Linked DNA regions of Lonchura striata. The protein of the gene in region 3 purifies or fractionates together with the protein of the main gene of each other region. This does not show direct contact. Links are inferred from orthologs where the notes say so. Each region holds a gene or a part of one and is shown on either strand. Other genes may lie near its edges. The genes, in order: GTPBP4, YBX1, MECP2 and KPNA3.

What was found.
Region 1: the proteins of MECP2 (region 3) and GTPBP4 purify together in Homo sapiens (affinity purification with mass spectrometry; 3 studies listed by BioGRID and IntAct, counting the BioPlex papers as one, with this or other methods). This does not show direct contact. The link is inferred for Lonchura striata from reciprocal best matches to the Homo sapiens genes MECP2 and GTPBP4.
Region 2: the proteins of MECP2 (region 3) and YBX1 purify together in Homo sapiens (affinity purification with western blotting; 3 studies listed by BioGRID, with this or other methods). This does not show direct contact. The link is inferred for Lonchura striata from reciprocal best matches to the Homo sapiens genes MECP2 and YBX1.
Region 4: the proteins of MECP2 (region 3) and KPNA3 purify together in Homo sapiens (affinity purification with mass spectrometry; 3 studies listed by BioGRID and IntAct, counting the BioPlex papers as one, with this or other methods). This does not show direct contact. The link is inferred for Lonchura striata from reciprocal best matches to the Homo sapiens genes MECP2 and KPNA3.

Annotation. Positions count from the first base shown.
Region 1 is NC_134603.1:146,564,501-146,572,305, forward strand, and holds the start of GTPBP4 (GTP-binding protein 4), read right to left. Parts: upstream 3,127-7,805; 5' UTR 3,071-3,126; coding exon 3,023-3,070; intron 2,405-3,022; coding exon 2,234-2,404; intron 1,087-2,233; coding exon 983-1,086; intron 907-982; coding exon 770-906; intron 218-769; coding exon 117-217; intron 1-116. UniProt on the Homo sapiens protein: Involved in the biogenesis of the 60S ribosomal subunit. Acts as a TP53 repressor, preventing TP53 stabilization and cell cycle arrest.
Region 2 is NC_134626.1:8,504,026-8,511,859, reverse strand, and holds the start of YBX1 (Y-box-binding protein 1), read left to right. Parts: upstream 1-4,744; 5' UTR 4,745-4,907; coding exon 4,908-5,064; intron 5,065-5,386; coding exon 5,387-5,450; intron 5,451-7,834. UniProt on the Homo sapiens protein: DNA- and RNA-binding protein involved in various processes, such as translational repression, RNA stabilization, mRNA splicing, DNA repair and transcription regulation.
Region 3 is NC_134638.1:1,378,183-1,386,346, reverse strand, and holds the start of MECP2 (methyl-CpG-binding protein 2), read right to left. Parts: upstream 3,217-8,164; 5' UTR 3,208-3,216; coding exon 3,170-3,207; intron 1-3,169. UniProt on the Homo sapiens protein: Chromosomal protein that binds to methylated DNA. It can bind specifically to a single methyl-CpG pair. It is not influenced by sequences flanking the methyl-CpGs.
Region 4 is NC_134604.1:62,575,419-62,582,937, forward strand, and holds the start of KPNA3 (importin subunit alpha-4), read right to left. Parts: upstream 3,216-7,519; 5' UTR 3,109-3,215; coding exon 3,031-3,108; intron 1-3,030. UniProt on the Homo sapiens protein: Functions in nuclear protein import as an adapter protein for nuclear receptor KPNB1. Binds specifically and directly to substrates containing either a simple or bipartite NLS motif.

The DNA.
Region 1 (7,805 bases), on a different chromosome or scaffold from region 3:
TGAACTTGCTACTACTCACATCAGACACAGCCACAACTAAATCAAATTGTTTAGAAGCTACCTTATTTTAAATAAATTGTATCTCAATATTATCTATGGAAAAACCACTCACATACCTTATTTATAAAGCTGGATTTCCCAACATTTGGGTAGCCACACAGCAGAAGAGTTCGTGTATTGGGATCAATGGTTGGCAAACGAGACAAATGCTGTCGTACTGAAATATTAAAAATATTTTTTAAGTATCTCTGATAATTTAAGTTTTACTGAGATGGAATAACTATATATATCTGAATTGTCCTAAAAATCAGTAACACTGCTGATATAATATGATCATTCATAAAGGTATGTAATACCTTGAGGACTCCACAAGTATCTACGTACAACAAAAATAAAATTTAAGAAATATTTAAGAAATGAAGACCACTGTCTTACAGCTAGAATGACTCCACCAAATCAGGCAACACAACCTGAGACTAATAAGTTTGAAGTAAGGAGTATTTTTCACATATATGTTAGTGAAAAGAATGGTAAGTAAAAGCATGCCTGTGACTTCTAAACAAAGTTTTATCACTGTTAGCAATACCATAACACTTAATTAATATTCAAAGACAAAACTATTTTTTTACAAAATAAACACAAGTATTTGAGGATTTAAAAAGTGCTCCTGTGTTTCCTGGATCTGTAACCTCTACTAAACACATTCTTCTGCTACTAAGTGTAATAAACTTTATATCCAATGCATTTTTAGCCCGTATTTCACACCAACCTTGCTCCAAGTACTCCAGGCTCTGTTTCTGTCTCTTGATGATGGTGCACATGCGTCCCAGGGCCGCCCGTTTGAGCTGCTTGCAGCGGTACAGGGAGTCCCCGTACTTCATCAGCCGCACGTAGTCCTTGGCCACGCTGCGGGCACAGGAGAGCAGAGCTCAGCCACCAACCACCAGGCACAGGCAAAACCAGAGAAATCAACGCCCCTTACTTGTCAATCAGATTCTTGGCAATGTTGATCTGCCCCAAAGCCAACTTGTAGTGATCTTTGTCATACAGGACATTCATCAGGTCCGCGTAAAAAGGATGAATATCCTAAAACAAAAGCATGATGTTAAGTCTCATACTTTCTTACTCTATTTCTTGCACATAAATTTGTTTTGTTTTTTTTTTTTTCTCCAGTACAGCAACACAAATGACAGCAAAAGCCAAACAATTTTCATTACTATCATATGTCAGAAAAATAATCTGCTTGGTCATTAAATGCATGAATCTTAATTCCTCTGAATTTCTTCTGCAAACACATCTTTGACTTACTCATACAGAGTCTCCATTTCACCTTTTGCTTTCTGAAATACTTCCTAATACAACTTTGAAGTCTCTTTTTCCAAAGAAAAAACTGCAAGAAGCCAACAGAAATTGTCTCAAAGGATATTCATATTATAGCAGAAATACCGCAGTACTATAAATTCCTTTTCTTTTATGAGTGCTGCAATGAAATTCTATGCAAGACTGGACAAAAAGAGATTTTTTAATGCCCAAATAAATCCTCAACTTTTCAAGGAAGTGGCATCTCTGCTACAAATCTTTTAAGTACAGTATTTCAGCTAGTTATGTATTTACCTGAAGAAATTTCATCATGGTGATGAAAAAAAAACCCAGAAGATATTTCTGGGAATTCTGGAGCAACACTCACCGGATATGAAATTATCAAGAAAAACAATTTAATAAGTGAATAATTTCAGTCTGAGCAGAAAACTGCCCATAAAAAAGTCCCACAGGGAAATGAATACAGCTGCAGTTGTTGGAAGTTAATAATGTGTTTCTAACCCCACCCTTTATTGGGCCAAGGACAACATTTTATGTTGTCAAATTAACTCCTGAAGATGGAAAGCAATATGATATATTATATTTCTTGGTATTTCCTTGAGAAGACTAAATATAAGTACAATTTCCATATGCATACACACAGAAGAAATAAGAAGCAAGCAGACACAATATACTTAAAACCCCCCACATTCTACCTTAATTTAAAAGCAACTTTTGGTAAACATATCTGATCAGCTAAAAGCTTGTAAAATCCAGCTTTTAATGGCCATCCACTAGCACAACTTAGACTTCTGCTCTTCACAGGAGCATACTATTTTTGTAGTACAGGTTTTGCCTACTACTCACAGTAAAATCTGCTTTAAATCAGCCAAATTGTCTACACAGAGTAATCAGCAAATGAGAAAACACTTACATCTAATTTCGGGAAATCTGTTAAGATCTGAGTGAGTCTGTCATGGTAATTTTGTTGAGTATATTTGACTTTTCGCATATAAAAATGCCGAATCCGATGGATTTGATAATGTTTATGAATGACAGTTGGGGTCTTCCGCTGAGTCTTTGACAATGTCAAATCTATGAAGTCCTGCAATGGAGCAAACATGATTAATTACACGAAACGCCAAGTTCTTGTAAAGGCAACAATTTTCTTTTGGTGGAGGAGGCTGCTGACGAGTGAAGTGCATCCACAGTTTGAGAGGAATGCTTTAGGCACGCAGGAATAAGCAGTTTGCACCTTCCCTGCCCCGTTTCTATTCCAAGTTTCTATTCTGGCTGCCCCCGGCCCAGCCGCCCCAGCCAGACCGAGCCCTGCTTGGAGCTCCCTTCACCCTGCTGCATTTAAAAACCCTTCCTCCGACTGGTGGAGGACTTTATTTTGAAGCAAGACGCTTTCGGTATGAGGCAGGTTTGTAAAACGAGAGGGGTTATTGTGGGGGACAGCGCGGCGTTAAGGATCCGTGCTCAGGGACCCCCCCGGCACTGTACATGGTACGGGCCGCCGGCCGCAGCAGCACCGGCACGGGCGAGTCCACCACTCCCGCGGGAGGGGGAGGAGGCGAAGGCCGACACCACGCCGGCACCGCGGAAGGGGCAGGAGGGCAGCGCGGTCCTCGAAGCCGCCGAGCGGGAGGGACGGCCCGGTGCGGAGGGCACGGAGGGCAGAAGCAGGGGCCGGGGCAGGAACGTGGGAGCGCGGCCATACCTTGGCAGACGGAACCACCGTGATCTTCTTGAAGTTGTAGAGCGCCATGGCCGCCGCCACCGCCGCGCCACGCGCCGGAAAGGGAGCGCGCCCGGCGCTCTCGCGAGAGCTGCGCGCGCCCCGCCCGCCGGGAGCGGGAGGGAGAGGGAGGGGAGCGGGTGAGGGAGGGCGAGACAGAGGGAGTGTGGGAGGGGGAGCGTTGGGGCTGAGTCTGGCCTTGCCAGAGAAGCACTTGACCGCGAGCAGGGTTCTAGTGAAACAAACTTTAAGGAATTTAGGCTGTGTCCTGTTGTCCTGTCACTGGTTGCCTGGGATAAGAGGCCGAGCCCCTCCTTTCATGGAGCTGTAGTGAGCAATGAGGTCCCCCTGAGCCTCCTGTTCTCCAGCCTGAACACCCCCAGCTCCCTCAGCTGCTCCTCACAGAACATGTGCTCAGACCCTGCTCCAGCTCCATGCCCTTCTCTGGACACGATTCAGCACCTCAGTGTCTTGAATGACATATGGGATGTTTAGAGAAAGAATGAAATCTGTGAAGACCAATGGATTAATGTTGATAAGGGAGGAAAAGTTTGGGGAAATGGAGAGAAAAGCGAATAAAAGAGGCTGGTAGCACACACGGTCAGTAAAAATATCTGCTCATACCTTGCACATGCCATTACTACAGTTTGCCCTTTTTACTAAACTCCATTCCTGACCATTTTCCAGATTGAGGAGGCTTTCTGTTCTGTTCCTGTGAGTGAGAAGCCAAGTGCCTGCCACAGGAGAAGAGGCAGAGATCCATGGTGGCCGTGTTTCCAGGGTGCCAGGAATGGAGGGATCGTGGTACATGCACACTGTCAGTGTACATGTACATGCATAGACACACTCGACAGGCTGAGAAACTTGGGGCTGTTCAGAGGAGCTTGTGTGGAAACCTCACAGGAAACTTCCAGTGTCTAAAGGGGGCCTACAGCAAAGCCAGAGAGGGACTCTGTCAGTGAGTGATAGGACAAGGAGTAATGGGTACAAACTGAATAAAGGGGAAATTTAAGTTATATATTAGGGAGAAATTCCTCACAGTGATGAGACCCAGAACAGCTTGCCTAGAGAAGCTGTGGTTGCCCCAGCCCTGGCAGTGTTCAAGGCCAGGTTCGATGGGACTTTGAACAATCTGGTCTGGTGGAAGGTGTCTCTGCCTATGGCAGGGGGTTGGCATGAGATGATCTTTGAGGTCCCTTCCAACCCAAACCACTCTCTATGTGTGTGTGAGTGCAACTGGGAGAGCAGGGGCTCCCAGGGGCCAGAATGATCCAAGTGTCGAGTCTCTATGTGGGTGGACACATGCACAGAAATATCTGGACTGGGTGTGTGTGTTCCCGCTGCAGGTACATGCTCAGTCTTCCTTTCAGCTGGGTCTGTGGTCATGGGGCTGCAGCAGCCTCACCTCCTGATGAATTCTGACAAATTCCTGATGAATTCCTAACCCAAAACAAACACACTCTTACTTCCCTCTATTATTGCTTTTCCTTAATTTCTTTTTTTTCATAATAACTTTTAGTGACTTGTCTCATTCTTAATTGTAAATCCTTTCAGATAAAGACAAAGCATGAGTGAATTCTGGAGCAGTTTGTGAACTTGACTGTACCTTGTGCTCTAGGGTCTTTTGTGTATCTTCAGCAAACAAGAAATACAGATATCTAAGATACCTGAATGTAGGCACATCCTGCAGTTTGCATGTATATCCCTGTTTTCTACTCGACAGTAAGCTGGCATGCACATCAGTTTTAAATAAATTGCAAATTACTTGATACTCTTTGGGAGGCAAACTAGATTAAAAATTAGGAATTCCTTTGGCTTCCACACTAGTTTGGGTTTTTTATCTCCACACAAAACATGACATTATTCACTTGAGAGAATTTATTTATATGTTAATCTGTGATTGCACATTTTTCTACACTACTAGAATTTTAATGCATAACTCCTTTTACATTTCTTTTATTTAACTGTGCTCCTGGTTTTGCTGAAGTGCTCCAAACAGCTGTCCAGTGCAGTGGAAATTTGTAAGCTATTTGAAAAGTAAGAACTCATTTTATCAGCCAGATGATAGTTAATCCTTTCCAGTTAACTGTAGTAATGACTGCATGAGCACTACTGGATGATAAACATGCCCTTAGAACCATTCCTGTCTCTGGCCTCACAGTGGGGCTGCAGCTGCCCTGTTCTGAAGGGACATGCAGCTTCCTAAACATTTTGATATGACTACTTCAGTCTGTCTTCTTGAGGTGTTCTTGAGCAATGAGATTTGACTTCACACTTTATTTATACTGTATTTCGCAAATACGTCATTTTATGGAATAGAAGGAGCTTTTCTCTAAGTATATTCCCACATTTCCCCAGTTTCTGGAAAGATCCTTCCATGAGGTGGCCTGGGACATTCAGACTGCCCAGCAGCTGGAACCAGCAGTCTCAGCTTTCCCCAGTCCATGGCACTTTTACATGTGAGCCCCCAAGGTTCACATGCCCATTGCAGGCACTCCAGACTCACATGCAGACATGCTCTGTGCACCCCCTATGATGCTGATCCTCAATATTCAGATTATCCAGGAGCAGGCCCTGGCACCCCTGCTCTCACACTGCCTGTGCATTACTACTTTCTTGGACAGTTTTCAAGAGAACAAATTTCAAGACAAAATTTGGGTACCATTCTAGACATTGTGTCCTCTTGTTCCAGAAGTCAGGAGAAGTAAGACCATGTCAAGTTATGTTTCTTTTGGACCAGAAAATTCCTTATCCTAGCTGGTTTTCTACACTCAGACATTCTCATTCATATTTATGATATATTTCAGGCATGTAACACTTATTCTCTATTTCATGTTTTAAACACCATTCTAGTAGACTGTAATTCATATCAATTTGAAATTGAAAAACACAAAATTATTCATGTGCATTGTGCAAGGGTAACTAATGGCACCAGCAAGGTTCATGTGCTGTGCCAATCCACCAGAGAGGAACTTCCAAAAACAGGCACAAGAACGGACAAGGCCCAGGGAGCCACCCAAGTATTCCTCTGTAAGAAATGCTTCTGCAGAACACATGCAGGAATTTGCATTATTACTAGATATGGCATTACAGAATCAATCAGGTTGGAAAAGGCCTCTGAGACCATGGAATCCAACCTTATGCCCCAACATCACCATGTCAACCACACCACAGCAGTGAGTGACACATCCAGTCTTCTCTTAAACACCTCCAGGGACAGTGACCCCACCACGTCCCTGGACAGCCCGTTCCAATGTCTAATCACCCTTTCTGTGAAGAAATTCCTCCTAATGTCCAACCTAAACCTCAACCACGAGTACAACTTGTGGCCATGGCCTCTCCTCCAGTTGCTGGTTGTCTGAGAAGAGACCGACCTGGCTACAGTCTCCTTTTGGGCAGTTGTAGAGAGTGAGAAGGTCACCCTTGAGCCTCCTGTTGTTTAGTGTCGTTATAGGACACGAAATGAGTGCACAGAAGCTTGGTAAGTTCAGAAGAGAAAAAGAGCCAAATTTATTTCTGACCTCACAATATATAGAATCCCAAAAGTGACAGTGGATTGGAGGATGAAACTGCCACCTCTCCAACCACACTGGTCAAACCAAGAGTCCATCAATTCTCTCCTCCTACAAAGAAGAATGCAAAATAATCATTATTTACATGAACAGTGCGTGAGAACTCCAGTAGAAATATGTAAACATCAGAAGGCATGGAAAGCTTTTAAAAGAGCTTTAAAACTTTCAAAAGAACTATAAAAGAAATCTTAACACTTTTAAAAATCAAGGCACCAGTTCAGGCTAAAAACTCCCAGCTCCCTCAGCTGTTCCTTATACGACTTGTGCTGCAGACCCTTCCCCAGCGTCCTTTCTCTCCTCCTGTTTCCATAACAGAAGAAAGCTTTTCAGAGGGGTTGTTTGATAAGCTGTTGGTCTGGCAGCAATATGCAGTCTGCCTCACCTTTTGATTTCAGCAGCTTAAAAGCCAACTAACAGGCTAGTCAGAAAATGGTATTTCTGGAAGCAATTTTGCTTCAGTTTAATTCCTTGGTTTTGAAAATCTCCATATCAGTAGCCAAGCTGAAGAAAAATATTCAGTCCCACTCTGGTCCACACAATGGAAAGGCATGGCCACAAACAGACCTGGCAGCTTCCCTAACCTTTTTGCTCTGTAGATTGGATGCAAGAGGTCAGGGCCAAGAGACACTGGTAGATGCCAGGTACAAAAAACTACTGCTTCTTCTCTAGCAGCTCCTCCAGGCTTCATCAGACAGCATCAATCTCTGAACTACCAGCCCAGAAGTATCACATTAAATACAGAAAATAAAGCTGTAAACAGGCAACAGTGCTTACACTTACCTGCAGTATCTGAAATATCATGAGCAAGATTTTATTTTGAAACAGGGCCATTTCGTATCAGCACACAAAAGGCACATCACACAAAGGGAACTTCCAAAATTGTAATATTAAGATTCAGACTCTCTTACTAAATTATTATTACAAAGGGCATGCATGGTGATGGATCAAAGTGCTTTGGAGAGCGACAATACTGCCCCAGAAGAATAATGCCATCTAATGCATCTCAGGAACATGGCTGAGGCACACTCAGGAATACACTCAGGAATACAGTATTATTAGCTGTAGTTACTGTGTAATCCTGGGAAAACTTTGAAATTGTTTAAGGAAGTACAATAAAGACCCACCACGTTTTGCCTTTCCCAGCTGCTCCTCTTTTGCTTGTTGAGGGAGGAGACAGCTTTACCAGAATGGAG
Region 2 (7,834 bases), on a different chromosome or scaffold from region 3:
GTGGGACAGGCAGGGATCAATAAAAGGAGAAGAGAAAGGGAGGACTTTTGAGCCTCCTTGCTCAGTACCGCTGTAGGACTGACACTACTGAAGGACCAAGGAGTTACCATTTTGCATAGTCTTACCTTGACTTGAAAAAAGTACCACTCCCTCTATCTGAAAAGAGATGTTTTCACTATTTACTGTTACTTAGGTTTCATATTGGTTAAACCAATAGTCTCAGGCTAACATACAGTAAGTGTTCTGTCTCCATTTGTTAGCTCAATTTACTGTAAAATCTACAGGTATTTAAATCTGTCTAGATTTCAGTGTGTTGGGCTGCAGCTTGTCAAAAATCTGCTGTATTAGCCTTTTGGTTGCTGATTTTTTCCAAATTTCAGGAGGCAGTTTGGACTCACAATTTTATACTCACAATACTCACAATTTTTGACCTTCCATTAAATTATATCCAAAGGCAACTGGAATTGCAAAAATGTTCCCTCTTTTGTAATAAAGTCTTAGAGACCTGCAGCACTTCAAACTCTTGGGAGCTCTTGCTATTTGATGAAGTTTCAACAGGGAATGTAATCATTCTTCCATTCCCCTGGTTCTTCTGGTGGCATTTACAGGCTTTTGAAAAAAGTCTGCTAGTAAGGCTGTCTCTTTTCTTGCAGAGCTGTGTTGAAGGGTCAGGTCTCCTTTAGATTTGTACTCCATCCCAGACTTTCTTACCATTTTAGTTTGGAGTACTGTGTCCCTGGCAATCCCCAGCTTGAGCCTGGAAGCTTCACATTCATAGGTGCAATGCTGGTGCCAGCTTACTTATTTCCCTAACAGGTCTTAGGAACAGCCTTGCTGCACTCTCATGTCTCTCATCTGACTGGGAACAAGAACAGCTTTTGCATTGCCTGACGTCAGAAAGCTATATCAGCTACTTGTCAAGATCCTTGAAAATCAGCTGGGAGAAACAGGCACTCTTGCTTTTAACTTCAGAAGTAGATGCAGTTGCCTGACAGGCAGATCCAGGAGGATTCCTGAGTTCTCTGGATGATGAAAGCTGGTGAAGCTTGTGTGTGTAGCAACTGGCATGCATTTAAAATTGCTGTGTGGCCCCCAGTATTACTGCACAGCCTGGCTGTTGTAGGATCTGTTGGGAATGGTTGTCCAGCATTTAGACTTACATGTTTCTTCTTCCTTTCAGTGTTCCTTTACTGGTGATTAGACCTGTGCTGGCTCCAAGCAATTCCAGTTCCAGCCAGCTCACCCACTGCCCAGACTTCTCCACAGGCCAGATCCATCCTCTTGATGTTCTCCTGAAATTATTTAATAATGGGCTTTTTTTTTTTTTTTTTTTTTTTTTTTTTTTTTTTTTTTTACATTTTGAAATGTAATTAAAAAATTTTTAAACATGTGCAGTGCACATCAATTAGCATTAGTGGGAATGGATTCTTCTCTAGGTGAAAAGGGCTGTAACATCTTCAGCAACATGCATTGTCCCTGGCCAGTTAGTCAGGAACATTTACTGATTGGTATTGAAAGAAGGGGTGAAAGGAGCTTGGTAGAGCTGTGCTGCACCAGCTCTTTCACTCGGCAGGTAACTACAACTGCCTGGCTGGCAGAAAGGTTGTTGGCACATCTTGGGAATCTCCAGAACTGAGGAATTGGTATAGCACAGATTCCATCACCGTGAGTGCTACACTCTGAGGAGAGTTCTGATGTAAACAGGTCTTTCAGTCATCGAGCTGTTATGTGCCACATATGTTGGAGGAGGGGTTCACCTGAGTACTTACAAGGGTGTTGGAGCAGGCTTGGGAAAAACAGAATGGTGATGCTATAGGAATGAAATTGGGGCTGCTTGTCCTGTTTAGTGAGGAGAGTGCAGCTGAGGCTGCCTTTCTTCCAGAACAGGGCTGGGAGCTCACCCTCCTGGCAGGGGACAAGCCAGCACCCTACACAGTGCTGGGTTCCAGCAGGAACTTCTCATCCAGCTGTTTAAAGGTAAAGGACCTGATGAAAGTTAGGACAGAGTCTGTTCTGTCACATGCAGGTGATTCATCCCATGTGGAAAGATCCCAACTGTGCCTGGGCAGTGGGTATAGGGTGCACTCTCTGCCTGACCTGAGCCTTGCCCAGCACTGATAGGCTGGAGGAAGTTCCCACAGGCTTAGCTGTGCTCTTTTCTCTCATGGCTCTTTGAAATCCTAGGAGAAGGCTCTGGCTGTCAGGATTCCTACGTCCTCATTCCTAGAATTGCACAGCAGCTGAGAACACTCACTTCTCTCCAGCCTGAGGCATGTCACTTTGTACCTGCAGAACATCAGGTGATAAAAGAAGCACAAGCACCCCAGTCCTTTCTTCCTCAGCCCCACACATGCTTTGCAGAGGGCTCTCCTGTGAGAGGAGGGTTGAAGATTCTCAACAGGCTGGCTCAGGTGCCTCAAGGAGCTATGCCTGGCAGTGCTGTGCTGAGGTTTGCACTTCTGGCTGCTGGTATTCACCATTCAAAAAATTCACCATTTTTTCACCAGGGAAACAAGTTTATTTCTGGTCCAGGATTAGCAGCACTTTTTCAGCCTGATGTATTTATACCACTGCCACCACCTGGCCTCACTTCCTGCATAAAGGGGTCACAGAGCTTCCCCAGATTAATTAAGAGTGGCAAATCCATTACTACCTCTTTGTTATTACAATGGCTAATTACATCCCATTATATTTCCCTTAAACGTGGAATGTTACCTGCTGGCTGAAAGTCTTCTCAAAAACCACATTTTTTGTTTTAATTCCTCCATGATGGTGTCACCCTTGTGTTGTATGTAGCAAATCCTGGAATGTCCTGTAGAGGAGATGATGGAACTCCTGTCAGCTTCCTTCAACTGTGGATGCTGCAGCTGGAGATGGTATTTCTGGTGGCCTGTGCATTTCCTTGAGGGTCTGAGTTGCCTTTGGATTTCACAGTGTTACTCCACAAAGACATCATTGGGGTCCACAGTTTTGGCTGTAGGTGCATGGCTCTGACATTCCCACACATTTCCTCCCTGGAGTTTTCTTCCTCATGGGTGGCTGCCTGGTGTATTCCCTAATTTGCATTCTATAGTAAGATTATTTTTCAGGTGACTCACTGAAGTGGTTTTGGTTTGTTAATTTAAGATTTCTTTAATTTTGAGATTTTTTAATTAATGTGTTGAAGAGTGTGATGAGTTTTAGTGTTGGCTAATCACTTATGTATTTATTTCTTCTTGTGAGATAGGAAGATAGGATTAGGAGAATGGTAAAGTAGGCTTAAAATTTTAAAAGGTATAAAGAAAATTTTATTAACACTAATTAAAAGAAAAAGATAGTAAGAATTAAAATCTTTAGAATATTTTTTCTTTATTTTATAACTTTTTTTAAACTGATTATGTAAAGAAATGAAATTTAAAATTTTTAGTTCATTTAATCCTTTTTAAATAGTTTTTTTTTTTTTCTCATACAAAACTATGGCAGTCACTAAGCAGCATCCAATTTTGACATCATTCTAGCTTTTTTATCCAGGTCATCATCCTGGTGCTGATCCTGTGGGACTGTGTTATTGTTTTCAAGCCCTTCCCTTCATTAACTGAGTTGAAGATCAGGTGGAAGAGTTCCCAAGGGAGCAGGATGAGACCAATGTTCCTAGTGGGTTGATGTGGTGGGTTGAGCTTGGCCTCATTCGAGTCCTTCACCTGGCCAGGGTGGAATGTAGGGAACTGGGATAGTGAACTGGATGGTGATTTGTGTGCAGTGCTGAAAGGGCTGATCCCAAGGGGATACGTGTTGCTTGCAAAAATGGTGGAGTGGTGGGTCATCTCCCAGAGACCTTCTGAGTGGTTGCTGATGACCTTTCTCTCCTCCCATGTCAGACGAATGACATGACCAAAGCAAGAAATGTGGCCACCAACCACATTCTTCAACTAAGGAAAATTAACTTGTTGGACAAGGACAGGGGTTTCCTCGGGACCTTCCCTTTGGGGAACCCTGCAAGAGATGTCGGGTACCTCCAGGCCGCTGTAAGGTGAATCCATAGAGGTAAGGAGGTGCTGAGAGATGGTGGCTGGAGAAAGACTCTAGCAGGGTAAAGGACCCAGCACTAATGCTTTTCCGACAGCCTGAGTGGGTAGAAGGGCTCAGGGTGAGAAGCTGCTCCCGCCCTTCCAGGGAGGGAAGGATGCGATGTCTAGGGAAAAGCTGATTCCCCGCGGGTCAGGTCAGTGCTGTTACTGCACATCCGGACATGGACTGGGGAGCTCTGACAGCTCCAAATCCGTCGTTTCCCACTGGTATTTAACGCTCCCGGGCCCTTCTGGCAATCATTAACGGGAGAGGGCGCCCCCGGCGCGCTAGGCCGGGAGCCGCCCGCAAGATCGCTCTGCCCTGGGTCTTCCAGCGAGCGGAAGCGGGGTCGGGGACAGCGCCGGACAGAAGCCACCGGCGCATGGTCGCGCGCACTTCCCCGATCGTGCCCGGTGGGGGCGGGAGCGGCGGCCGGAAGGGCCAATCAGGGGCGGGGGCGGGGACTCCGGGTCGCCCGGTGAGAAAAGCTGGCTTGGCACCCACGGGCGAAGCAACCAATGGCGCGCGCTCTTGGGGAAAGGCAGGTGTCGTCGCCAATAGGTTTTCGGTGGGGGGCGGTGGCGGGTTGGGGAAAGGCCAATGGGGTCGCTCTCCGTTTAACGGGCGGGCCGGATGGCGAATCGCGGCGCGTGCGGGCGGGGCGCGCGGGGTGACTAACCGGTGCGCGCCGCCATTGTGGCCAGTTCGATCGGTATCGGGAGCGGAGAGCGGAGCTCAGCGAGCCCGGAGCAGGGAGCAGCCCCCCCCCCGCCCCCACGGCCGGCCTCAGTCACCATCACACCGCGGGAGGCGGCGCAAACAGCAGTCACCACCACCGTCCGCACCGAACAGCCGCCGCCATGAGCAGCGAGGCCGAGACCCAGCCGCCCGCCGCCCCCGTCCCCCCGGCGGCCCCCGCCGCCCCCGCCGACTCCAAGCCAAACGGTGGGACCGGGAACGGGGGCAGCGGCCTGGCCTCGGCGGCACCTCCCGCTGGCGGGGACAAGAAGGTCATCGGTGAGGGCAGCTTGGGGTCCCGGGGTGGGGTGGGAAGCTCCGATCCCACTGCCTCTCTCCCTCCATGGCTGAGGTTGGCGCGCGCTCCCTTCCGCCCGGAGGGGCTGTGCGCGCCCCCGGCTCGTGTCCTCGCTCGCGCGGCGGCCGTTAGTCGCCCCCCTCTCCCTCCCCGCCCCGCGCGCCGCCGGCCCCGCGTGCCGGGTGGGGGCGGGGCAGCGCAAGATGTCCGCCACGCGGGGCCTTTGTGCGCGCGCCCTGCCACGTGCCCCTGACGTGCCGCTCCCTCCCCTCCTTCCCCTCTTCACTCTGCCCCTTCCCGCAGCAACGAAGGTTTTGGGAACAGTGAAATGGTTCAACGTGAGGAACGGTTACGGCTTCATCAACAGGTGAGTGCCCAGACGCGGCGGGCCTTGTCACGGGGAGCCCCGGGGAGGGGGGCGCGGCACTTGTGTCCCGCGGGTGACAGGCGGGGGCGGGGAGTGGTGGTGCCTTTGCCGCCTCTCGCCCTTCTTGGTAGAAGGAGCTGGTACGATTCGCCCTTTCTCCACCCCGGGGTTTCTGTCCTGCTTGGGGCTTCCTTGGGGTTGGCTTTTGAGTCCTTTAACCCTGGGCAAGAGCTGCGCTCTCGAAGCGAGTCTGTTTCCATGGCGATGTGTCTTACATTATGGTCTATCCCTTTATGGTGTTTTGGGGTTTTTTTCCCCCCTTAAAGATATAAAAGTGCACTGGCTGTCAGCACACATTTAAACTCCTGCGTAAAGTTCAGTCAATGCAAGTAAAAATTGCTTTTAGCACTTGGTAGTTTAAACACACTCTAATGAGGACACTGTCAGCATATGGCAAAATGAGCAAAAGGAGCATAGTTCACACATTCTAGTGCCACACTCAAGTGCACAGACTGGTCTCATGAAACAAGTGCCTAGAAGATTCTTTTTGTGACAGTAGTTGATGTGAAAGACTAATTTGAACGCTTTGAGAAGTATGTAGGTACCTGAAGTAGGTCTGTCAAGGAGAGGAAGTGCTCTGCAAACAAGTTTTTAGAAAATGGGCAATTCTTGGCTCCATTGGCTGGAGGGGGGCTCCCTGGACTGTTGCTAGAGCTGTTTCCCTTATTTTGTGGTACTTAAACTCCCCAGTCTCAGAATGAGGCTGTGTACTGGGAAATCCCCTTTAGGCCAGCAAGTATAGTGTTATTATTGGAACTTTTGTTTATGTTTGGTTTAAACACTGCCTTTTGGAACTGCCTGTTACTTTATGAACTAGTCTAAATTGTTAAACTCCTGAATTAGTTCTGTGTCTGCAGCTTTACAAACCTGCCTCCCATTCTGTCCAGTTTGCATTGTTCATCATGCCATGCTTCAGTTCCCAGTGTTGTGGAGTCACCAGTGCTGAGAGCTGTTGTCTCTGGCCTTGGAAATGCCTCCCAAGTCCCAGCCACAAACCCCACCTCGAGGGAAGGCTTTTCCTGTTCCCTCAGCAGTGAAAATGTTCTGTGGTGTCAGTCAAGCAAGGAAGCAGCAGCAGCAGCTAGTTGAGACATCCAAGTAGCTTCCCCAGTCATTAATTTGGCAGCTGTTTAATCCCTGAGGTTGCCATTTGTAATGAGAAACCCAGCATGATCTCATATTATCAAGAGATTAGAGGCTGGTAACTGAAGGGGAGGACATTTCCTCAGCTCTGAAATCTTTACCTGGCTGCAGGGAAGCTGTGCAGGAGCTCCTGCCCTTGCATGGCTTTGCTTTAGCCAGGTCTGCTTTCAAATAAAATGAGACTATGGAACTGAAATGAGCTTTGAGGTATGTGCATGCTCACTTCAGGTATTTTCTGAGTCTTTTTAATGTTAGAAGTGTGATTCTGTTACAAAATAGGAAGGAGTTTGAATTCTGGGTCTTTGATGGTTGTTTCTCATGTTTGCCAAAATAACAAGTTGATGTGCCAAATCCGCTGGCTTGGTCTGTACCATAACTGGAGTTGCACTGTCTGGCATGGTATTTGGTGCCCTGCTGGACTTGGCATCTTCTTTGTCTGCTTATCTATTTCCCTTTCTCTAATATATTTTAGTGGATAAAAGATGTGAGTGGAAGAGTGGCATAGTGCAAAGATCAGTTAAATTGTTTGGCCTTTAGAATGGGTGTTCCTCTTGTACCCTTCCAAATTTTCTTTGAAAAAGTGATGGTCCTGTTGTTCCATCATCCACACGGCAGCATGCTTGCTGCTTCCAGATGTGCTTGCTGGAAAACAGCATTGGGAGTGATGTGGCCAATGGCGTGGGGCTGTAAAATGGCTTGATTCAGTGAGCCCTGTGTGATCTCGTCAGTTGTCGAGCCAAAACTCTGATGTCCTCTTGAATGGAAACTGCTTTGCAAATGGATTTTAAAAATAAGTATCCAGTCTGGTTGTCCAAAATTCAACCTGGGCAAAAGTACAAGGTATCCACATTTGTGGATGAGCACTTCCTACCACTGTTTTTTTAGCTGATGATGAAGGAAGGTGCTCAGCATTTTTACTAGAAACATGCTACTATTCTCTTGCGAAGGTTTTCAGCATTTTGGACATTGTGTTTTGAAGAAGAGTCTTTCAGCTTTGGCTTTGCAAGGGCTTCTGAGTGCTGCATTCTTGGGGCTTTGGAGATGATATCAGAATGGCTCTGCTCGGCTGCCTTTTCCCAGTAACCTTTGAGGTCTGTAGGCATCAATTTCAAGAGGAAACAAGGGGACTTATTTTTACTGGTGATGTCTGATGGAATAGCTGTAGCTTGTATGGAGTTTAT
Region 3 (8,164 bases):
GCCGCGGCCGGAATGCCATCCCAGCGCTGGTCAGTCGGCGGTGTGGGGGGCACGGAGGGGACGGGGGCTCGGAGTGGACACCGGACGTCCCCAAAGCCCCGTCCGGGCTCGGCCGGACTAAAACCAGCCCTGGGGGCCGTGGTCAGCGCAGGGCTGTCACCGGGGCTGTCACCGGACCCCCGTGTCGGTGTCACCGGGGACGGGACCCTCGTTAGGGGGGGATTTGGGGTGGGGTGGGACCCCCGTCCTCGGTGTCACCGCTGCCACCGGCGCGGGGGTCCCGTCCTGGCGAGGAAACACACACAGGTGAGGCTCGGGGAGGGGCGGGACCCCCACCGTGGGGTCGGTCATGGGGAGGGGGATGCAGCCCCCCAGGACCCCCTCCCCAGCGCTGGGGGTCCCCACGGTGACACCCTGGACATCAGGAGAGCCCCCCGACCCCTCCCCACCGAGAGGGGAGCACGGCCGGGACCCCCCAGCCCCATCCTGGGGCTAAAAGTCACAAAAACGGCACCAAAAAAATTTGGGAAGGGGCGTGGGAATGGCGGGATGAGGGGGACTGGGGACAAGGGGTGACCCCCAGGGACTCCCCGACATGTCCCATGGTCGGGGGGCTGAGGTGGCCCTGGGTGGTCTCTTGGTGGCCCTGGGGGGTCCCTGGGAGGTCCCAGAGGGGTCTGGGGTGGCCCTGGTGGCCCCAGGGTTGAGGATCCCAAGGGGGTCTTGGGGTGGGCACAACCCCGGGCACAGCAAAGGTGGGCGTGAGACCCCAGATTTTGGGGTGTTCCGGGGAAATTTGGATAATTCTGGCAACATTTGGGAAATTTAGGGATGATTTGTGGGATTTCGGGGCGTGAGGGCAGTTTTAGGGCAATTCCAGGTGGGATTTGGGGGAATTTGGGGGGACTCGGAGGGGCCGCGGGAGCGCGGCTGTTTTGGGGGAATTTGAGGCGTTTTTGGGAGCAGCATGAGGGGAACATTTGAAGCAACTTTGAGGCGATTCTGGGTATTTTGGGGCTGTTGTATTTTGGGGGAATTCAGGGTATTTTGGGGTAACTCGGGGAGTTTGGGGGCGCTGCATGAGTGCAGCAATTTGGGGAAATTTGGGGGATTTTTGGGTAAATGGAGTGTTTGGGGTGTGCTGCCTGAGCAGCGTTTTGGGCAATTTTGGGTATTTTGGGGTGGCGCACGAGCAGAAAATTTTGGAGCAATTCAGGGGATTTTAGGGTAAATCGAGAGGATTTGGGACACGGCGTGAGGAGCAGTTTGGGGCAATTTTGGGTATTTTGGGGCGCAGCATTTTGGGATAATTCAGGGGGTTTGGGGGCGCAGCGTGAACAGCGGTTTGGGGCGTTTTCAGGTATTTTGGGGTGCATCATTTTGGGGCAGTTTGGGATAATTTGGGGCATCACGTGCATGCAATAATTTGAGGCAGTTTTGGGGTGCAGCATTTTGGGGAAATTCCGGTTATTTTGGGGTAACCCGGGGTGTTTTGGGGCACCACGTGAGTGCGAAAGTTCGGGGCAAATTTGGGTATTTTGGGGCGCAGCGCAGGCGTAACATTTTGGGGTGACTCGGGGTGTTTTGGGGCGACTCGGGGTGGGTTTCGGGGTGACTCTGGAGTGGGTTTTGGGGTGACTTCAGGAGGGTTTTGGGGTGACTTCGGGGTGGGTTTTGGGGTGACTTCGGGAGGGTTTTGGGGTGACTTCAGGAGGGTTTTGGGGTGACTCCGGGGTGGGTTTCGGGGTGACTTCAGGAGGGTTTGGGGGTGACTTCGGTGTGGGTTTCGGGGTGACTTCTCTGGGGTGGGTTTTGGGGTGACTTCAAGAGGGTTTTGGGGTGACTTCAGGAGGGTTTTGGGGTGACTTCGGGGTGGGTTTTGGGGTGACTCCGGGGTGGGTTTCGGGGTGACTTCAGGGTGGGTTTCGGGGTGACTCCGGGGTGGGTTTTGGGGTGACTTCAGGAGGGTTTTGGGGTGACTCCGGGGTGGGTTTTGGGGTGACTTCAGGAGGGTTTCGGGGTGACTTCGGGGTGGGTTTCAGGGTGACTTCAGGAGGGTTTTTGGGTGACTTCGGGGTGGGTTTTGGGGTGACTCCGGGGTGGGTTTCGGGGTGACTTCAGGGTGGGTTTCGGGGTGACTCCGGGGTGGGTTTTGGGGTGACTTCAGGAGGGTTTTGGGGTGACTCCGGGGTGGGTTTTGGGGTGACTTCAGGAGGGTTTCGGGGTGACTTCGGGGTGGGTTTCAGGGTGACTTCAGGAGGGTTTTTGGGTGACTTCGGGGTGGGTTTTGGGGTGACTTCAGGAGGGTTTCGGGGTGACTTCGGGGTGGGTTTTGGGGTGACTTCAGGAGGGTTTCGGGGTGACTCCGGGGTGGGTTTTGGGGTGACTTCGGGGGGGGTGTCGGGCTAACTCGGGGAGTCACGGGGTGATTTAGGGGGGTTTGGGGTAACTCTGGAAATCCGGGGTGACTCGCGGGGGGTTCGGGGTGGATTTTGGGGCGACTCGGGAAGGGTTTGGGGCGGTTTTTTTGGGTTTTTTTTGCGCGCGGGACGGGCCGGGGGGGTGTGTCCCCTTGTGGGGGGGGGGGTGGGCGGGGGTCCCTGCGAGAGATGGGGGGTCCCCAAATCCCACCCTGACGGGATGGCGACGCACACAGGATTTTGGGGAAGGGGTGTATTTTGGGGGGGGGGGGGTGTCCCCAAATTTCACAGCGGCGCTGAGGATGGGGTTGGAGGGGGGGGGCCGCATTTTGTGGGGCTGGCGGAGGAAAGGGAAGGGAGGTCCCCCCGTGGCGGAGGGTCCCGAGGAAGGCTCGGGGGGTCCCACCGAGGGTTCCCCGGAGCCGGGGGGCTCCTCCCGCCCCCCGGGGGGGCCGCGGCCGCTCGTGACGCACTCGCGGCGCTCGCAGCCCCCCCCCAGCCCTCACACACACACACACACCCCCCCCGCCCGCCATCCCCGGTTCCCGCCCGGCCCGTGAGGGGAAGGAAAAGGGGATGTGGGGGGGGGGGGGGGGCGTGAGGGAGAGAGGAGGGGGGGGGCGTCGCCCCGTGCGCGCGCGCGCGCGAGACCCCCCCCCCCCCCCCCCCACCGGCTCTCCGCTCCCTCACAGCTTTCCCCAACAGCCGCCGCGGCCCCCCCCCGGCCCCGCCGCCCCCTCCTCACTCACAGCCGCCCCTCGTCGCCGCTCGGCGCCGCCGCCGCCATTTTCTTCGCAGCGAAGAACCCGCGGGGGGGGGGGGGGGGGGGAAGCTGAGGGGGGGGGCCGGGAGGGGGGGGGCGGGAGGGGGGGGGGGCGGCCCGGACCGAGCGGCGACGGGAACCCGGAGCGGCGCTGGCCCCGCCCCTCCGCCCGGCGCTGATTGGCGGAGCGCACCGTCGGTCAAGGCGTCGGCGCGCGGCGATTGGGCGGCGGGGCCGCCCTCCGGGGGCGGGGCCGGGGCGCTCGCGGCGGGCCGTTGGAATTGGCGGGAAGCGCTGTCAGTTACGGGGGGCGGGGTCGGCGGAGCGCGCGCGGCCGCTCATTGGGCCCCGCGCCGGGACGCCGGGTGCTGATTGGCTGTAGGGGACGTCGGTCAAGAGACGGCGGAGGGGGCGTGGCCTGGGCCCCCCCGCGCTGTGAAGGGTTTGAAATCCAACGGCCGTAACGGTCCGTGAGGCCACGCCCCCGGCCACGCCCCCGCGAGGCCACGCCCCGACCACGCCCCGCCCGCCCCGGGTCCCGCTGCCCCAGCACGGGGAGAACTGGGACCAGTATGGGGAGAACTGGGACCAGTACGGGGCAACTGGGACCAGGACGGGGAGAACTGGGACCAGTATGGGAATAACTGGGACCAGTACAGGGAGAACTGGGACCAGTATGGGAATAACTGGGACCAGTACGGGGAGAACTGGGACCAGTACAGGGAGAACTGGGACCAGTACGGGACAACTGGGACCAGTACAGGGAGAACTGGGACCAGTATGGGGAGAACTGGGACCAGTACGGGACAACTGGGACCAGTACGGGGAGAACTGGGACCAGTACGGGGAGAACTGGGACCAGTATGGGAATAACTGGGACCAGTACGGGACAACTGGGACCAGTACAGGGAGAACTGGGACCAGTATGGGGAGAACTGGGACCAGTATGGGAATAACTGGGACCAGTACGGGGAGAACTGGGACCAGTATGGGGAGAGCTGGGACCAGTACGGGGCAACTGGGACCAGTACGGGAATAACTGGGACCAGTACGGGGCAACTGGGACCAGTATGGGAATAACTGGGACCAGTACGGGAATAACTGGGACCAGTACGGGGAGAACTGGGACCAGTATGGGGCAACTGGGACCAGTAGGGGGAGAACTGGGACCAGTATGGGAATAACTGGGACTAGTACGGGACAACTGGGACCAGTACGGGGAGAACTGGGACCAGTACGGGGAGAACTGGGACCAGTATGGGGCAACTGGGACCAGTACGGGGCAACTGGGACCAGTACGGGGAGAACTGGGACCAGTATGGGAATAACTGGGACCAGTACGGGGAGAACTCGGACCAGTATGGGGAGAACTGGGACCAGTATGGGAATAACTGGGACCAGTATGGGGCAACTGGGACCAGTACGGGGAGAACTGGGACCAGTATGGGAATAACTGGGACCAGTACGGGGAGAACTCGGACCAGTATGGGGAGAACTGGGACCAGTATGGGAATAACTGGGACCAGTATGGGGCAACTGGGACCAGTACGGGGAGAACTGGGACCAGTACGGGGCAACTGGGACCAGTACGGGGAGAACTGGGACCAGTATGGGAATAACTGGGACCAGTACGGGGAGAACTGGGACCAGTACGGGGAGAACTGGGACCAGTATGGGGACAACTGGGACCAGTACGGGACAACTGGGACCAGTACGGGGAGAACTGGGACCAGTACGGGGCAACTGGGACCAGTATGGGAATAACTGGGACCAGTATGGGAATAACTGGGACCAGTACGGGACAACTGGGACCAGTACGGGGAGAACTGGGACCAGTATGGGGCAACTGGGACCAGTACGGGGAGAACTGGGACCAGTACGGGGCAACTGGGACCAGTACGGGGAGAACTGGGACCAGTATGGGAATAACTGGGACCAGTACGGGGAGAACTCGGACCAGTATGGGGAGAACTGGGACCAGTATGGGAATAACTGGGACCAGTATGGGGCAACTGGGACCAGTATGGGAATAACTGGGACCAGTACGGGACAACTGGGACCAGTATGGGGAGAACTGGGACCAGTATGGGGCAACTGGGACCAGTACGGGGAGAACTGGGACCAGTATGGGGAGAACTGGGACCAGTACGGGACAACTGGGACCAGTATGGGGAGAACTGGGACCAGTACGGGACAACTGGGACCAGCATGGGGCAACTGGGACCAGTACGGGGCAACTGGGACCAGTACGGGGCAACTGGGACCAGTACGGGAATAACTGGGACCAGTACGGGGAGAACTGGGACCAGTATGGGAATAACTGGGACCAGTATGGGAATAACTGGGACCAGTACGGGACAACTGGGACCAGTACGGGGACAACTAGGACCAGTACGGGAATAACTGGGACCAGTACGGGGACAACTGGGACCAGTACGGGGCAACTGGGACCAGTACGGGGACAACTAGGACCAGTATGGGAATAACTGGGACCAGTACGGGACAACTGGGACCAGTATGGGAATAACTGGGACCAGTACGGGGAGAGCTGGGACCAGCACAGGGAGAACTGGGACCAGTACGGGGCAACTGGGACCAGTACGGGGAGAACTGGGACCAGTACGGGAATAACTGGGACCAGTATGGGAATAACTGGGACCAGTACGGGACAACTGGGACCAGTATGGGGCAACTGGGACCAGTACGGGGACAACTAGGACCAGTATGGGAATAACTGGGACCAGTACAGGGAGAGCTGGGACCAGTATGGGAATAACTGGGACTAGTACGGGACAACTGGGACCAGTACGGGGAGAACTGGGACCAGTACGGGGAGAACTGGGACCAGTATGGGGCAACTGGGACCAGTACGGGGACAAGTGGGACCAGTACGGGACATCAGGGACCAGTATGGGGATCGTGGCCACCAGTCCTGGACCAGTACAGGCACCACAGACTCCAGTGCAGGACCAGTATGGGGACAACTGAGACGAGTACAAGACCAGTAGAGGCACCAGTGCCACCAGTATGGCACCAGTATGGGCACTGCAGCCACCAGTAAAGAACCAGTATGGCACCAGTATGGGCACTGCAGCCACCAATAAAACCAGTATGGCACCAGTATGGGCACTGCAGCCACCAGTACGGGGACCAGTATGGAACCAGTATGGGCACTGCAGCCACCAGTAAAGAACCAGTATGGCACCAGTATGGGCACTGCAGCCACCAGTATGGAGACCAGTATGGAACCAGTATGGGCACTGCAGCCACCAGTAAAGAACCAGTATGGCACCAGTATGGGCACTGCAGCCACCAGTAAAACCAGTATGGCACCAGTATGGGCACTGCAGCCACCAGTATGGGGACCAGTATGGCACCAGTATGGGCACTGCAGCCACCAGTAAAGAACCAGTATGGCACCAGTATGGGCACTGCAGCCACCAGTATGGGGACCAGTATGGCACCAGTATGGGCACTGCAGCCACCAATAAAACCAGTATGGCACCAGTATGGGCACTGCAGCCACCAGTACGGAGACCAGTATGGAACCAGTATGGGCACTGCAGCCACCAGTAAAGAACCAGTATGGCACCAGTATGGGCACTGCAGCCACCAGTAAAGAACCAGTATGCCACCAGTATGGGCACTGCAGCCACCAGTATGGGGACCAGTATGGCACCAGTATGGGCACTGCAGCCACCAATAAAACCAGTATGGCACCAGTATGGGCACTGCAGCCACCAGTAAAGAACCAGTATGGCACCAGTATGGGCACTGCAGCCACCAGTACGGAGACCAGTATGGAACCAGTATGGGCACTGCAGCCACCAGTAAAGAACCAGTATGGCACCAGTATGGGCACTGCAGCCACCAGTACGGAGACCAGTATGGAACCAGTATGGGCACTGCAGCCACCAGTAAAGAACCAGTATGGAACCAGTATGGGCACTGCAGCCACCAGTAAAACCAGTATGGCACCAGTATGGGCACTGCAGCCACCAGTAAAGAACCAGTATGGCACCAGTATGGGCACTGCAGCCACCAGTACGGAGACCAGTATGGAACCAGTATGGGCACTGCAGCCACCAGTAAAGAACCAGTATGGCACCAGTATGGGCACTGCAGCCACCAGTACGGAGACCAGTATGGAACCAGTATGGGCACTGCAGCCACCAGTAAAACCAGTATGGAACCAGTATGGGCACTGCAGCCACCAGTAAAACCAGTATGGCAAGGACGGCCACCAGTCCGGCCACTGTGGCCACCAGTTTGCTCACGGTGCCCCCAGTCCGGAGCGGGGTGGGGGAGGGCGGGGGATGAGCGGGGATGGAGCTCTAATCCCCCCTCCCCCACCCCCGGCCCCTCCCGACCCCCCCCCCGGACCACCCCCCAACCTCCCCGACCCCCTCCCCAATATGGGACCCCCTCCCAAACCCCCTCTGGACACCCCCAAACCCCCCCGGACCCCCCATCCCCCCCAGTCCATGGGTTCCTCTCCCCTCCCCCCAACTTTTTTCCACCCCCCCTCCCCGTTTCGGGGGGTCCCACCCCCGCCCCCTCCCCCCCCCCGGATCGGGGCCACCTCCGGGGGGATTGTCCCTAATCCCGGCCACCCGTGACCCCCCCGGGATTAGGGGGACACCTGGGGGGGGTCCCCAGAGGGACCCTGGGACATGTAGTCCCCCCCTTGGGGGGGGGGGTGGAGGGCAAGGAACCCCGCAAATGTCAGCCGGGACCGCCCAAAATCCCCCGGGACCCCCCAAATGATCCCCGGGACCGCCCAAATTCCCCCGGGACCCCCCAAATGTCAGCCGGGACCGCCCAAAATCCCCCGGGACCCCCCAAATGTCAGCCGGGACCACCCAAAATCCCCCGGGACCCCCCCAAATGTCAGCCGGGACTGCCCAAAATCCCCCGGGATCCCCCAAATGATCCCCGGGACCACCCAAAATCCCCCGGGACCCCCCAAATGATCCCCGGG
Region 4 (7,519 bases), on a different chromosome or scaffold from region 3:
ATCAACAATTTTACCTCCCTACAAGAGGAAGACAACAAAGAGGTATGGAACTTCCACCCAAACTTGAAACTAGAAAAAGCAGAATGAACCTCTACAGGTCAAAGATTCAGAACCTTTGATTTCTGCTCAACAGATCCGTTCCTTTACTCTTAGAAAATCACAATGGGATCCATAGCAAAATCCAAATGTACTTACCCATCTTTTGTTTCCCTTAAAGTTGCATTAAGAAAAAGCAAAGACAATTATATGTCCCAGCAAACCCAGTAATAAAATACAGGTTAAGTACAAATTAAAGGAGTAAGTATTTTGGTCTGCCAGAAGAGTCTGTTCCCGGAGGGGATCAATAGCAACTCTTAAGTATTTAATAGCAGTCAAAGGAAGATTACTAAAGAATGTGTTCAAGCTTGATGTGTTCAAAGGCAATGACTGTCTCCAGGCAGAAGGTGACTCAAGTGCAACTGTTTTCAAACTGAAGCTGAGACAGTACAGCTTTGAGTATTTTAAATTTTCCAAAGGATATAATCTAGATATCAGATCATGATTTATCATGTCATCATTCTAAATACTTCATTTCTCTCTGGTGGAACTTGACAAAATAAGAAGATGTAGATCAATGCCAATGAAAGCACTGTTGCCTCCTGATGTCCAAAGATGAGTAGAGAAAAGTGGAGGCAGGATCTCTATGTCAAACTCTTTATCGCAGTACAGGGAGCAAACCAAGTGTATTTAATTGCTGACAGTTGAGAATCAGGTATATTCGATTTAGAAAACAAATACTTTGTGAAGAGCCAGTAACTTTGACTACATAGAGACAATCTGCGCAATCAGCAGGCCAGTCTGTGTACCAGTTCCTCAAGAGAGGCACAGTACCTAATGGCAATTATATAGCTCTGCTGTGCTCATTCGTTCTCCACTCTAATCTTAACTTACATTGTTTTACTTTTAGAGGCTTAAGTTAGATAAAGTTTACTCCAGAAGGGTACTTCTAACATGAACTTTTAAATACCCAAATCAGAAAAGAGTCAAAAAGGATGTTTAGTAGAAAATATCAGACATTTAACACAAATTAAACTGTTTTGAAAGACACTGAAACATTTCCAATCTTTAACAGTCCTTTACATGAAACTAAATTTCATTTTAGCATATCTCCATGGGTATACAACTTTAAAACACCTCTGCATTTTATCTACTTGTTAGTGCAAACGAAGTATGTTACCTAGGTTTTAACCCTTTTCAAAAGCAGATATGACAGCTTTAACTACATTACCATTATTGGAGCTCTGCACCAGTCTTAGGCTCAGCCACAGAAAGGAAATCAGTCAGTACACTGGAAGGCTGGGATATACTTCTCCATAACAGCAAATACACTACTCCAAAATAATAACTCCTCTTCAGGGGGAAATGAGAGCTAAGCTACCTTAGCTGGTCTGGCAGAAGTAATCTCAGCAAAGCTTAGGCAGTCCATTCTCTCCTTCCTCCCCATGGAGGCAGATATTTAATTCCCCTCATCTTGAGCGTGCTATAATATAAGCAAGCGTGGATGACAGATCAGCTCACACTAGGCATGAACATACCTAACCTTTCCCTGTTTAGAGCTCTGATGGATTCAGGCCAGTTACTGAGAAAGCAGCAACAAAGCCAGTAACCAATACGGAGGGATGAGACAAGGACAAAATGAATGAGGAGCAGCAGGAAGGGCCTCACTGGATGAGAAGAGGAAAAAGAAATGCACCACGCCCCCTCCTTACCCTGAGAAGCTACTGCTAAACAGAAGGATGGGCCATTTTTAGTTACTTTCTAACGTTTACTAATGTTAGCCAGAAGTGTTGGAAGTTATCATACTCCTTACATGCAAGGTTTTCTGTAAGAAAGACTCGCTGATGCAGTCTTAAATAAAAATTAAAGATTGCTTTACACTGCGAATGTCATCTTAAAGACATTGCTGCTGCTAAGCCTGACCTGCATAAAATTGTCTCCACCCAAACAATAGCAGCAGAACTGTGAATTCTGCCAAAATACAGAATGTGCTTTCAGAGCACTAAAATTCCAGTCTACTGATTACGGAGTAAAGTGATAAAATCAACAGAACCATGGAAAACACTCTCAGGTGAAGTCAAAGTAATCCGACACATATTTAGGTTTTCACTCCAGCGAATCCTAAGCCGATTTCAATTCTAGCCTGATTTCAGAGCTCCCTCCCCCTTCCTTTCCTATTACAGAAACTTAAATACGAGATTTGGGATTTCCTCTTTCAGTTGCGAGTAGAAATGAAGATGTGTCCGATAATGACACGCAGATTCGAAGACCTCTGGAACATCTCTGGGGACTAAGCTCCCAATAACCCTGAAACTCTCAAATTCGGGGGAGTAAGCTACTACCCCATTAGTCTTACCGAGTACCGCACTCCTTCCCCATTTAGACGCAGATGCCCAGGAAACCATTACTGACGTGCCTACCAGCATTTGAAAATAAAGTATAAAAACTGAAAAGAAGAAAGGGGTTGATACAAGAAACAAAACGGGCCAGCGCAGCACACCGCAATCAGGCTCACCAGAGCGTGGGAGCGGTCCCCGGCACGGCAGGGGCCTCCGTGCGCGGCAGCGGCACCGCGGGCCGAGGGCAGGGCAGCCCCGAGCTCCGGCGGAAGGGCCGCCACCGCCCCGGGGGGGCGGCACAAAAGGCGGCCGGCACCATTGTCCGGGGCCCCATCCGAGCGCCGGGCGGGGGAAGGCGGCGAGACGCGGAGGCCAGCGGCGTGGAGCGGGGAGCGCGGCGGGAAGAGACGGCGCCGCATCCCGCCGGCCCTGCCCGGGGCCCGCGGGCGGCCCGGCCGCGCCAACCCTTCCCCCGCCGCCGCCTCCGCCCCCCGCCGGCCGCGCCCGCCCGCATGACGGCGAAGAAAAACCCCCCCAGGCGTTCCCCCCGCCGCCTCCTCCCGCCGCGAGCGCGGCCCAGCCCGGCCCGGCCCCTCCTCCGCCGGCCGCTGGCGGAGGCCGGGCCCGGCCGGGGCCCCGCCGGCCCCACACGCACCTCCGCGTCGCGGCCCTTGTTCTTGAAGCTCTTGATGCGGTGGCTCTCCAGGCCGGTGGCGGCGGCGTTCTCGGCCATGGCGGCTCCTGCGAGGCGGCTCCGGCGGCTCCCGGCGGCGGCTCGCGCGAGGGGCGGAGGGAAGCGGGACGCGCTCCGTGACGAGCGCCAAGGGGGAAACGGGCGGGGAGGGGGGGGGCCGCTGGCGCGCGCGCGCCGTTGCTGAGTGACTGGGAGAGGGGCGGGGGGGCGGGGAACGGGCGGTGCGAGCGCACGTGACGCGAAGGGCGGGCGGACGCTGTCCAATCGCGGCGCGGCGGCGCGGCTCTGGTCCCGCCCCCGCCCCGCGCGGCATTCTGGGGCGGGTAGTGCCAGCAGGCTGCGGCTCCGCACGTGGAGCGGCGGACCGGCCGCGGGGCTCCAGCTCGACGCCGGCGGGAGAGCCGAGGGCCTAACGATACTGTGCACACAGAATCGCAGAACAGGTCAGGTTGGAAGGCACTACAGTGGGATATCTGGTCCGATCTCCCTGCTCAAGCAGGGCGAGCTGACAGCGCATGGCGCAGGATCGTGTCCAAATGGTTCTTGATATCTCCAGTAAAGGAGACTCCACAGTCTTCTCTCCAGGTAAATGTTCCAATGTATGGTCACTCACACAGTAAAGAAGTTTTTTGTCATGTTCAGGTGGAGCTTCCTGTGCATCAGTTTCTGCCCATTGCCTCTTGTCCTATTGCTCAGCACCACCAAGCAGATCCATGCTCTTGGCACCCTCTCTTCACTCACTCATAGACACTGATGAGATGTCTCAGTCATCTCTTCTCAAGGCTGAACAGGGCCAGCTCCCTCAGCCTTTCAACACAAAAGAGATGCTCCAATCCCTTATTAATCTCTGTAGCTCTTCACTGGACCTGCTCCAGGAGCTCCGTGTGTCTCTTGTGCTGAGGAGCCCAGAACTGGACACAGCACCCCAGCAGGTGCCTCAGCAGGGCTGAGTAGAAGGGCAGGATCACCTCCTTTGTCCTGCTGGCAATGCTCTTCCTAATGCATTGCAGGATCCCACTGGTCTTGTTAGCTGTGGGATTTTCCCCACAATGCACCCTGGAGTGACCCCACTGGCAAGGCTCATGCACAAAGTGGCCTCAGGCAGCTCTGCCAGCCAAGGCTGTGTTGTGGGTCTGCTCTGCACCTCCCTCTGCTCCTCATGACTGCAGTAACATTGCTGCATGCAGCCTGGGAAATGCTGCACAGCAAGCATCTAAGAAATCCAGGTGTTTTGGAAGCTTTGAGTCCCCATTGGTGAGTCTGCCATGAAAGCAAGCCCTGCCTGGGAAAAACAAATCCAGCACTTTGCCAACGTACCCTTCATGCCACACTTCTATGTGGTAGCTGGAGCTACATACCAGCTTCAATGCAGAATACAAAGGGGCTCTGCCAGCCCAACAAATTGTCCCCAACCTGTCAAAATTATTGCAGCACGACTCCCTCTGGGAGCATTTGGACAGACTGCAGACAGACCCAGCACCTCCAGATTGATGGTAGCCTGTCCCTGGGGTCCCCTGTCGGGCGGCTCTCCAGTGGTGGAGATCCCGGGGAGCAGGGACGATGGAATAAAGAAATCTCCAGCCGAAGGCGGGTTGGCTTCGAAGCAGCTTTAATCTCTGAGGGCTAAGTGTCAGGGACTGAGCGAAGGGGTACAGGTAGACAGCCTCACAGAAAGGGAGCTGGCTCCGAGAGCCTCGAACAGGGGGCGGGGTAGAGATTATGTTAGGGAGCAAGTAGGAGGGACATGGTACAAAGGATCCAATAGGAATAGGGCTAGGAGGAGGAGTTGGGATGAGATAATGGGGATGCAACAAATGGGAATAAGGGAAGGGGGTGGTAACAGGGGAAGAACCAATTGTAGACAAAGAACTTAAGAACATTCCAGAATAAAGGGTAAGTACAAAAGTGATTGACATAAAGGTGGGCATAACTGAAGGTTACATAACAAGAGGGGAGTGGTAGGTTTGATGGGCAGCTCGGAGGCGGGGATCTACACAACAGCCTCCTCCCAAGGCATATTCGGGGGGGCTTTCCCCAAGTCCCCTACCACATCTCCCCCTTCTTTATTAATTAAATAAACATTCCCTAAGGTCTTAATTAACATCCTCTTAAAAATTGCTAGGGCAACTAAAATGATAAGGACAATAACTAAAATCCATAAAAGTCCTCGGAGGATAGAGGCTGCCCATCCCGGGACGCCCCATTGAGAAAGCAACTTGGTGGCAGGGTCCACAGCCGAGGTTTCAGTTTGTAGATGTTGGACTTGTGTCTGGATACGCTGGATGCTGGCTTGGATGGATTTGCTTCTCGATGTTAGGTTGAAGCAGCACAGTCCTTCAAAGTCCTCGCAGCTGTGGCCATGGGCTAACAGCAAAAAGTCTATCGCCGCCCGATTTTGGAGGGTGGCCTGCCTGGTGGTCTGTTCGTCCGCCAAGAGGTCGGAGAGGGCGGCGGACGATGCGTTGGCATGCTTTGCTATCCAGCACTCCAGGTGAGAAAGCTCACCGAGGGCTTTAGCGACCGCATACCATGGGAGAAAGATGGAAGCGGCAACCCTCTTTGTTTTTCCCCAATTATAAATTTTGTCATCGCAATTTTGGTCGAATTGGTCATAGGATCTTTTTTGTCTGGCCAATTGTCTCTCTTTCTTCCAATCCATAATTTGGGTTTTGTTTGGAGTGAGGGTAGTAAGCTTGCCAAGGCTACATGGTCCTCCCTGGAGCCGAGATGGGATGCCTGACCATACTCTGTCCCCACAGACAAGAAACATCCCCCGGGGTAACGACTTGGGACGACTGGAGGAGACAGAAATAATTGGACTTGTGTAGTTACACCAAGTAGCCGAATTATATTTTTTGTTCAATGGTGTAACGTCTTTTCTATATGTGTTTTTGGCCAAGTCAATTCCATGCCAATTCTGACTTGGCCTCTTAAAATAAAACTTTACACAATAGGTGGCAGGAGAGGACCCTAACAGATCCAATTCTTGGGGCTCCTCTTTCGAATTTGGTAGTATTTTCGTCCACGCGTCCCAAGTGTCGACCGGGTTAGGTCTCCTGCCCGTGGTTCGGAGCAGGTCAGAGTTGGAAACCGGCCAATCATCGGCTACCAGAGGGACCCCCACCAGGCATGTGGACAACGGGTTGTCCACATTGCCCATGGCCAAGCAAAAGTTCTCTTGCTGGAGGGACTTTGCCAGCGTTACCCAGACGTTCTCCTTCGGCTGTGGCACAATCCAGCCGTCCGCCGCCTGCAGCCACATGATGGTAAGGAGCGTGAGGCTTGCGGCCAGCCGGATACGTCGGGGCGTCCACTCTCGTAGGTCGTTGGTGGATGTCTTTTAGGCAGCCATCTCTAGTGAACTAAAGTGCAAAGAGAAAATATTCAGGAAAAATATGGTATTCTTCCCCAACTCCCCTAACTCCCCCTTTTCATTTTTAAGTAAAAAATTAGATATTTAAGTGGGGTAGGAGCGACGGGTGAGGTAAGAGGGAAGAGGAAAAGGGATAGAGGGAGACGGGGTGTTAGGGAGGTCGTCAGCTGAAGGTGGTGCATAAAGCCGGGTGATGAGTGTTCTGCAAACGATGTTAGGGTACTGTTTTGTCGTCTTTCGTTTCCTCCTCTTCCAAGCGGCCGCGGTGTCTGGCGGCACCGGAGTGGGTGCTGTTGAAGTGTGCATTGGTGTGGGGTCCAGATCGTTGGAGCTTTCTAGGAATGGTTTTACACATCTCGCTGGAATCCATTTCGGGCCCTGTCCTGTGGAAATACAAGCATACCCTCGCCCCCAAGTGATGAGCGGGTATGGGCCGCTCACCTGCTTGGACTCCGGATCTCTCACGAGTACCGGTGGGCGTTCTTTCAGCTGGGCTCTTGTGTTATTATAGAAATGTCGGAGGACTGGTGGATTTGGTTCTTTTTCTGAGCAATTTAGGAAGTTTAAAACATAAAGTGCTTTACAGACCCTCTCTATTGGGGTCATTGCGAGTGCTGAGTCTTGTTGCTGTTCTAGCAACTGTTTTATATTTTTGTGAGTCCTCTCGATAATAGCTTGGCCCGTGGGATTGTGAGGAATGCCGGTAGTATGGGCAATCCCCCATTGTTGTAGGAATTGTTCAAAACGGGCAGATGTGAACCCAGGCCCATTATCTGTCTTAATAGCTTTTGGGACCCCTAGAGTCGCGAATGCCATATATAGATGTTTGATTGAATCTTTGGTCTTCTCTCCCGTATGGAGAGAAGCAAAAACAGCACCTGAGAAGGTGTCTACTGACACGTGAATATATTTCAGCCTGCCAAAAGGGCTGTAATGAGTGATATCCGTTTGCCACAGTTCCAGAGCCCCGAGTCCTCGGGGATTGACCCCCGTTGCCATCGATGGCAGGGCAAATGTCTGGCAACTGGAGCATGTGGTGACAATTGACCTTGCCTGTGCATGTGATATTTTAAATTG